Linked DNA regions of Cricetulus griseus. The protein of the gene in region 1 interacts with the protein of each later gene in a pairwise test. Links are inferred from orthologs where the notes say so. Each region holds a gene or a part of one and is shown on either strand. Other genes may lie near its edges.

Region 1 (4,281 bases):
CCTTCCCTCCCTCTCCCTGCCCTCTAGGAACCACCTGTAGGTAGTGACACAGGTGCAAGTTGAAGGGGCTGTGAGAGGCTTCAGAGATGAGGCAGACCCCAGTGTTGGCTGTGGTGTTGTGCAGGTCTAAGATGAAGTCAAAGGCCTGGTCTGTGCCCTTGGGGCCCAGTAGCTGGTTCAACTCTTGTGCTCTTGTCACTTCATATGGGTCATTGGGAGTGGCTGTGGAACTGTGGGGGAAGGAGTAGGGGACACCAGTCCCCATCATCTCAATCAGTGTCCTTTTTCTTGGCTAACTTTTCACCTTTGAGGACTTGGCTGAGATGCCACCTCCTACAAGAAGCCTTTCCTGACTGCTCTCAGCTACATGACTGCTTCATGTAGCATCCAACTGTGTCCCCAGTAACCTGAGGGTCACACCTTGGTCCTATTCCCCAATGTGAGTCTCACTCCAGCTGTCAAGAGTCTGGCCTAAGGTTCAGGGACTGATCCATCTTGCAGTCAGGACCGACTTCCTGGAAGAAGTGACATTGATCTGGCTCTCTCAAAACCAGAGGGTCAATGAGCAAAGGTAGGGCTGCCTTGCTAGCCACAGAGGCTTGTCTGCAGGGATGCTAGTACCCGGCTGTGGACCAGCCAACCTGGCCAGCTCACCTGAGGAAGGTGAAGGTGAAAGTGCGGTTGAGATCACGGTCCATGTAACGGCGACAGGCGGCTGTGGCTGCTGGGTTGGCCAGAACTGGCATGGCTGAGAAGCTGGGTCTCTGCAGCTCCCCTGGGGCCTGCAGCCAGTGCCGGATCAGGTGGATGCCACACATCTCATTTCCGTGGGTGCCCCCAGTCACAGCCACTCGGCGCAAGGGCTCCCGGGGCACGGGCAGGGAGCTCATCCCAGTGTGGAGCAATAGTCTACAAGAGATAGAGCTGGGACAGCAAGGTGAGCTCCCCGTGCCCTGAGAAGTCTGAGAGGTATCAGGTGACAGCTGTGTCCCACCTGTACCCAGAAGCCAAGTTCAAGGATACCTTCAGTGAAATTTCTGTTCCACTTGGCACCTCAGTTCTGCCTCTGGAACTTTCTTTGTGGGTGAGCTGCTCTCCCCACTTTTCTCTCAGAGGAGACACTTTCCTCTCTGCCTTTAGAAGGAGTTTCTTCCACCTGTGAAACCAGCACAGGAGCCGCGTTGGTGTTAAGGAGACGCATTGTCACACATTGTTAATAAGTCTCCATCTCTTAGAAGAATAGGCTCTGTTTCCTGTAAACCATGTTTCTCAACCTGTACTGAACTTGTAACCCGTAATGTATACCCAGCCTTTTACCTTGTTAAACCCTAAACACCTGTGGTGGCACCTCTTCTTGTGCCTGTCTACCCCCCAGGCAGCCTTGAGCCCTGAGTCCCTCACCCTTCTGTCCAGGCACTAACAGCAATGATCTCAACAGCTGTTTTCTATCAACCTAACCCTTCCCCATCAAAGGGACCTCAAAAGCCATTGAGGAGCTGCTCTCTGAAACCTGACTTAGGGGGAGGCTGTGGTCTGGCCAGTCCCTTGTGCTCCTCTAAATTCACCTTGCTTTAATCAAATAGCCTTGGAAATGGCTCTTTCTCAGGTCTAACATACCTAACCTAAGAGGGACTCAAACATTCAGAAGAGTTGGCTGGTCCCACCCCTACCATCATCACTACAGCTGGTGCCAAGCTTTCCAGGAGAGGAGACTGTCTCCCCATTAGCTGTGCAGCAAGTATCTAGGGTCCAGGCCACCCCTGCACCCTTCCTCTGACCTGGCAGAAAGCCTCCACGAGTCCTCTTACCTGCTGCTACGTGTCTGGGCTTCCCTAGGCCACGGGCCTGAAGTGTCCACCTCCTGGCCCACAGTATTTACAGGCCTGGAGGCCCCATGCAGGAAGTGTTTGTGCCCAGTTACTGGAGAGCTGGGGGTGGGTGGCTGGGCTGAGAGCCAAGCAGCCAAAGTTCGTAGGGCTCCACCCCCACAGCCTAATGGGTCCAGATGCCTGGGGCAAGTTCCTTGCCCTCTGCTCCTCCTCTGGAAATGGGGACAGTTTTACCTGCCAGAGCCTCTGAGGATTCCTGCTGGAAGCTGCACTTACCCTTGGAAAATTAATCGCAGAGATTCCTGACCTGGAATGTAACACGAAAAATAAAAGGACCCAGAGGCAGATATTCGGGTTCAAGCTGAAGATCAGGGAAGCAGAGCAGCTGGTCACTGGCTCACACCTCTAGTTCAGGCTGAAACGGCTGATCCACACACAAGCTCTTCACCAAGTCTCAAAGTGCTGCCTCTCCTCAGCGTGGCTGGAGAATGAATGCGCCTATTGAATGCTGAAGACCCTGCTTCTTTTATAATCCTCTAGTACTGGAATTAAAGGCGTGTGATCTGTTATTCTCTTTTTTATAGCCTAGTTCCTTTTTTATTTTAATTAGAAAGAAGATTATTTTACATGTCAAGCCCAGTTCCTTCTCCTTTCCCTCCTCCCCTGCCCCCCCCCAACTAACACCCTACCTATCCCATACCCTTTCTGCTCCCCAGGGAGGGTGAGGCCTTCTGTAGGGGGCCTTCAAAGTCTGCCATTTGGGATAGGACCTAGGTCAACCCCCTTGTGTCTAGGCTGAGGGAGTATCCCTCCATATGGGATGGGCTCCCAAAGTCCATTCCTATGCTAGGGATAAGTATTGATCCACTACAAGGGACCCTATAGATTTCTGAGGTCTCCTCACTGGCACTCACATTCAGGGTGTCTGGATCAGTCCAATGCTGGTTTCCCAGCTATCAATCTGGGGACCAAGAGCTCTCCCTTGTTCAGGTCAGCTGTTCCTGTGGGTTTCACCAGCCTGGTGTGGACCCCTTTGCTCATCACTCCTCCTTCTCTGCAACTGGATTTCAGTTCAGTTCAAGGTTTAGCTGTGGGTGTCTGCTTCTACTTCCACTGAAAGACCCCCGAAGAGGTACTTTCGTAGAGGGAGACCCACACCCAGGAATCAGCGAGGCCACGAACTGGATGTAAAAACAAGAGGCTTTATTGGAGACGCGGGTACCCGGGGCGACTTAGCTTCTGTGTGGCTAAGCGCGCCGAGCCAAGGGAGAGGTGCCTTTTTATAGAAAAAAACACAAGCAAGGAACAGGGATTCTATTGGATGGTTCAAATGAGGCACAGAGCCATTCCAGATCAGCATATTCTCAAGGTCTGGTGTCTGGTACAACAGACTTGATTCCTCCCTCCGCGCCCAGGTGGCTGACCTTGGGACGAAGGTTCCCCAACGGGGGGGGGGGGGGGGGGAGGGGTGCCCTTTTCCCGCTCGGCCCCAGCCCCGGGGCGCGGTGCCAGGGCAGCCCCGCCTGGGTGAACCGGCTTGGGAGGGAAAACGGCAGCCGGGGGCGTGGGGCCGGCGGGGGCAGGGACAGCGGGACAAAGGGGAAGCAGGGCGGCTCCGCGGCAGCTCGCCCGCGCTGCACTCTCCAGCCCCTGGCCGTATCCTGGCTCTGCCCTGCTCAGTCCCCGAGGCGCTGCCCTAGGTCAACTGCTCTTCTCAGCCCATCCCGGCTGCTCCAGAGAGAACACCCAGCATCAGCATAGGCGGGGGGAGACAGAGAGGCAGCGGGCCTTTCACCCACCAGCTGCTGGATGAAGACTATTCTTTACACTGATTCAATAACATGTATTTCTGTGTGGCCTTGAACTTAGATCTGTCCGCCTCTTAATCCTGAGTCTTAGGATTAAAGGTGTGTACCACCACCTCCTAGCTTCTGGATGCTGGGACTAAAGGTGTGTGTCTAGCTTCTATGGCTTGTGGCTGACTTTGCTTTATGAATCCTCAGGCAAGCTTTAATAAATCATAAAAAATATATCACTACACTGGAACGATGACTCCCAGTCCTCAGAAAGGGTTTGGCTTTTCTGACTGTGGAGTTGGTTCAGGGTCTTGTCCCATGTGGGTAGACAAGGCCTGTCTGGTGCTCCAACCCATCTACCCAGAGAGGCACTTTCCTTAAGGCTACTTAAGGCAGACAGCAGTGGCTAGTGACTTGGTTATGGCTGCACCAGCCTTGTACCTTGGGGGCCACCAGAAAAGAAGTCCCCTTCCCTTGGCCTCCTTAGCATCACCCTCTGTTCCTGCAGCTCTTAGGGCACCTCCCCACTTCTTTGAGGCTGGGACCCATGGGGTTCAAATCTTAGAGCCCATTGATGCTTCAAATGAAATTGCAAAATGTTTTGCCTAGTCTTTGTGGTTTCAAGGGTGCTATAACCGAAATGGCTTTGTTTGCTC
Region 2 (3,094 bases), on another chromosome or scaffold:
CTGCCCACTTAACAGATGAGAAACTGAGGTCAGGGCTTGCCTTGAGCTACATCTGTCTAGCAGAACTAGTCCTTCATCCTGGGCAGCCACTCATCATACTGCAGGCCCTGCTCCACCAGCAAAGCCATACATGTGTGACTTAGCCACTATCGTTTTTTTACAGCCAGGTGATGCCTGGAGAGCAGAGGCCCTTTATTAGGTGGGAAGACTGAATGATGACTGTGTGTGTGTGTGTGTGTGTGTGTGTGAGGGGGGTGACAGCCACTGTAGGAACTGACAAGGCCTGAAGTCCACCTGGCAGCTTTGGGTCCCCACCTGAGGGCAGCACGGGACCTGCAGGCAAAACACAGCCTCTGGCCAGCTGGGACCTACAGCAGCCAGGACAGCTAGGGCTCCAGTGTCACTAGAGTAGAGCAGAAGAGGTTTTCAGGACCCAAGGTGGAGCTCTCTGAAGAACCCATCTGACACCCAGGATTAAAGTGACCAGAACAAGAGGCAAGGAAGGTGCAGTCCCTTTAATGTGTTTCCCTGGGCAAGTGATCACAGCACTGCCGTAAAATCCAAGAACGTTTGCCTCTGGGTGGAGATCCTGGCACTGTCCTGTGGGGGTGGACAGAGGTGAAGGGGTCAGTAGCAGATGCCAGTGTGGGTAGCCAAGGGCAGGGCTGTGGGAATACATGGTGGCTGGAGGCAGGAAAGGGTAGCAGCAGCAGTTCCCAACAAGGAGCTGGGCTGCAGAACCGTTTACTAGGCACTGGAAAGTGGCCTGGGGACTTTCTTAGAAGGCACTCCCTGAGGTTTTGGACGAGGCCTGTGCACTCTCCAGGAAGAGGCTGAAGGAGTGGCAGCTCCTATGTGGTCATCTGGCTATTACCTGGGTCAGGTAGCTTGGAGGGAAGGACTGCAGACAGGGCTTTGCTTTGCTGGGTCCTCTATCCCCCCTCCTGCTGGTGACAAGGCAGCAGTCCTGCTGTAAAATGTAGTAAATAGAGCCAGCCAGGCCAGTAGAGGTGCAAACTAGGATCAGTTGTCACTTGGCCAGCTATCTGTCAGGCAGGCCAAGCTGTGGTCTCTGGCTCATAGACAGGAAGCTGGCTTGAAAACAGAAACATCAGCCCTTTGGTAGAACACTGGCCTTAGTTCATGCCCCAGCCTCCACCGCAGACTGGGAATATATCACAGAAGCCTTCAGTTTCGTCCCAGGTGGGCAACTGTGCATAGCTTATGTTTTTTCATCATCAGGTCCCCCTTTTGATGGTGAGATGGGTGTGCACACTGACAACCATCAGGTCTCCCTGCACACTGACAATTGTCAAGTCTCTGTGAAACCTTGGCAGGTGTATTGGTGCATGTAACCTGCATCTGTAAGGCACAGGCATAAGATGGAGCTCAAAGTCAGGCTGGCCCAGGGCTACACAGTGAGACCATGGCTCCAAATAAAGCCTCCCCCAACCCACCACTGCCAGAAAACGGTCCACAAAGGGGAAGGGGCCCAGGCATACTGTTTTTTTTTTTTTTTTTGTATCATCATATGGGGACATTTCAAAGACCAGCCATGGATCCTGTCAGCCAGTTCTTAGACCATAGGCTGAAGGAAGGGAATGGTGGAATACTTCTGTTTCTGAGGTACTTAAATCAATGGAGAGCCTCATCCATACTAGGCCAAGTGTTCTTTGGGTAATGCCCCCAACCCCAGAGCCACCATTCTGTTTGAGACAGGGTCTCATTCTGTACCTCTGGCTGTCTTCTGACTGGTTGGCAATGCTCCTGCCTCAGCTTCCTGAGTACAGATTCCAGACATGATCCACCACATCCAGCCACAGCCATTTCTGATTAAGTTCTTTCTTTTCCCTTGGGGCTGCCGGTGGTGCTAGATGGAGGTGGAGGCATGGCCTGTTGGCATGCCCAGTGAGGTGACCGCTAGTCCCTGTGTGTTTGGACCCATGAGAACAACCTGGCTGGAGGCTAGGGACATATACACATGAGGAGGGACTCCGGCTCTGGCCCTAAGTGACCCCGGACCCTGAGGGACCTTTCAGTCTTGTTGGCCAGGCCCATTCCTCTGGTGTTAATGGAAGAGCTCCTCACAGATCCTGCGTGTGTCCTCGGGTGCTGTCACCGTGTAGCCCACAGTTCTGGGGTCTGTGAAGATCTCATGGTCATTGCCACCCTGCAAAGACACAACAGAAGCAGTAGGCTACGGTTTGTCCTGGTCCCTGGCTGTTGCAACCCTGATGTTCCTAGCTTAGGGAGGTTTCTTCAGTTAATTTTCCCTTAGTTTCCAAGAAAGGAATGACATTTTTGTCACACTGAGCAGGAGTTTAACCTTCTCATGAACCGAAATCGAACTCAGAAAAGGTAATTATGCTCATGAAAGGCATCAGATGCCTTTGTGAGGATCTGGCTATGGCTTGTTTTTCTAGTGAAAAAGTACAGCAAATGACAATCACAGCTATCAGTTTGTCTTTGTGCCCAAATGTCTCTCGAAAGTCACAGGAATGTTGGAGGGGCAGGCTGCCTAGAGTGGGGCTGCTCACACCCTGTGAAATTAACATTTCACAGGTAGGTATACATGTTCCTACCTGTAGGTGTGCATGTGTAGGGTACAGGTTGATTGGGTATCTTTCTCAGTTGCTCTCCATCTCATTTGAGACAGAATATTCACTGAACCTGGACTTCAGTGATTTGGCTGGACCATTTGGCCAGGGAGTGCTAGGATCCATTTGTCTCTGCCTCCCAGTGCTGGGATCATAAGCATACACCACTATGCCTGGCTTTTTATACAAGTTCTGGGTATCTGAAAAGGTTTCTCACTTGTGTGGCAAATATGTGACTATGAGCTGTCAGCTTTGAGTTTAATTATCACCATCATTTTGAGGAAGTTAGGCTATATAGCTACATCATCATTACCATCATCACCATTTTGAGGAAGTTAGGCTACATAGCTCAGGCTGGCCTTAAATTCAAGATCCCTGGCTTTGGCCTCCTTTGGCTGGGATTACAGGCACAGGCCACCATCCCTGACTTTAATGAAATTTAAATGCCCCTCCAGTGACTACCTGACAGCAGATGGGAAGAAAGGTGGCAGGGTAGG

The links. The genes of interacting proteins can lie anywhere in the genome.
Region 2: the proteins of Acy3 (region 1) and Pmm2 interact in binary tests that used the Homo sapiens proteins (3 or more experiments, as listed by UniProt). The two-hybrid records come from large-scale screens. The link is inferred for Cricetulus griseus from reciprocal best matches to the Homo sapiens genes ACY3 and PMM2.

The regions. Positions count from the first base shown.
Region 1 is NC_048596.1:55,252,892-55,257,172, forward strand, and holds the start of Acy3 (N-acyl-aromatic-L-amino acid amidohydrolase (carboxylate-forming)), read right to left. Parts: upstream 2,801-4,281; 5' UTR 2,744-2,800; intron 2,368-2,743; exon of another isoform or gene 2,311-2,367; 5' UTR 2,106-2,310; exon of another isoform or gene 1,809-2,105; intron 1,157-1,808; 5' UTR 891-1,156; coding exon 655-890; intron 231-654; coding exon 35-230; intron 1-34. UniProt on the Homo sapiens protein: Plays an important role in deacetylating mercapturic acids in kidney proximal tubules. Also acts on N-acetyl-aromatic amino acids.
Region 2 is NC_048600.1:38,114,806-38,117,899, forward strand, and holds the end of Pmm2 (phosphomannomutase 2), read right to left. Parts: intron 2,171-3,094; coding exon 2,069-2,170; 3' UTR 501-2,068; downstream 1-500. UniProt on the Homo sapiens protein: Involved in the synthesis of the GDP-mannose and dolichol-phosphate-mannose required for a number of critical mannosyl transfer reactions.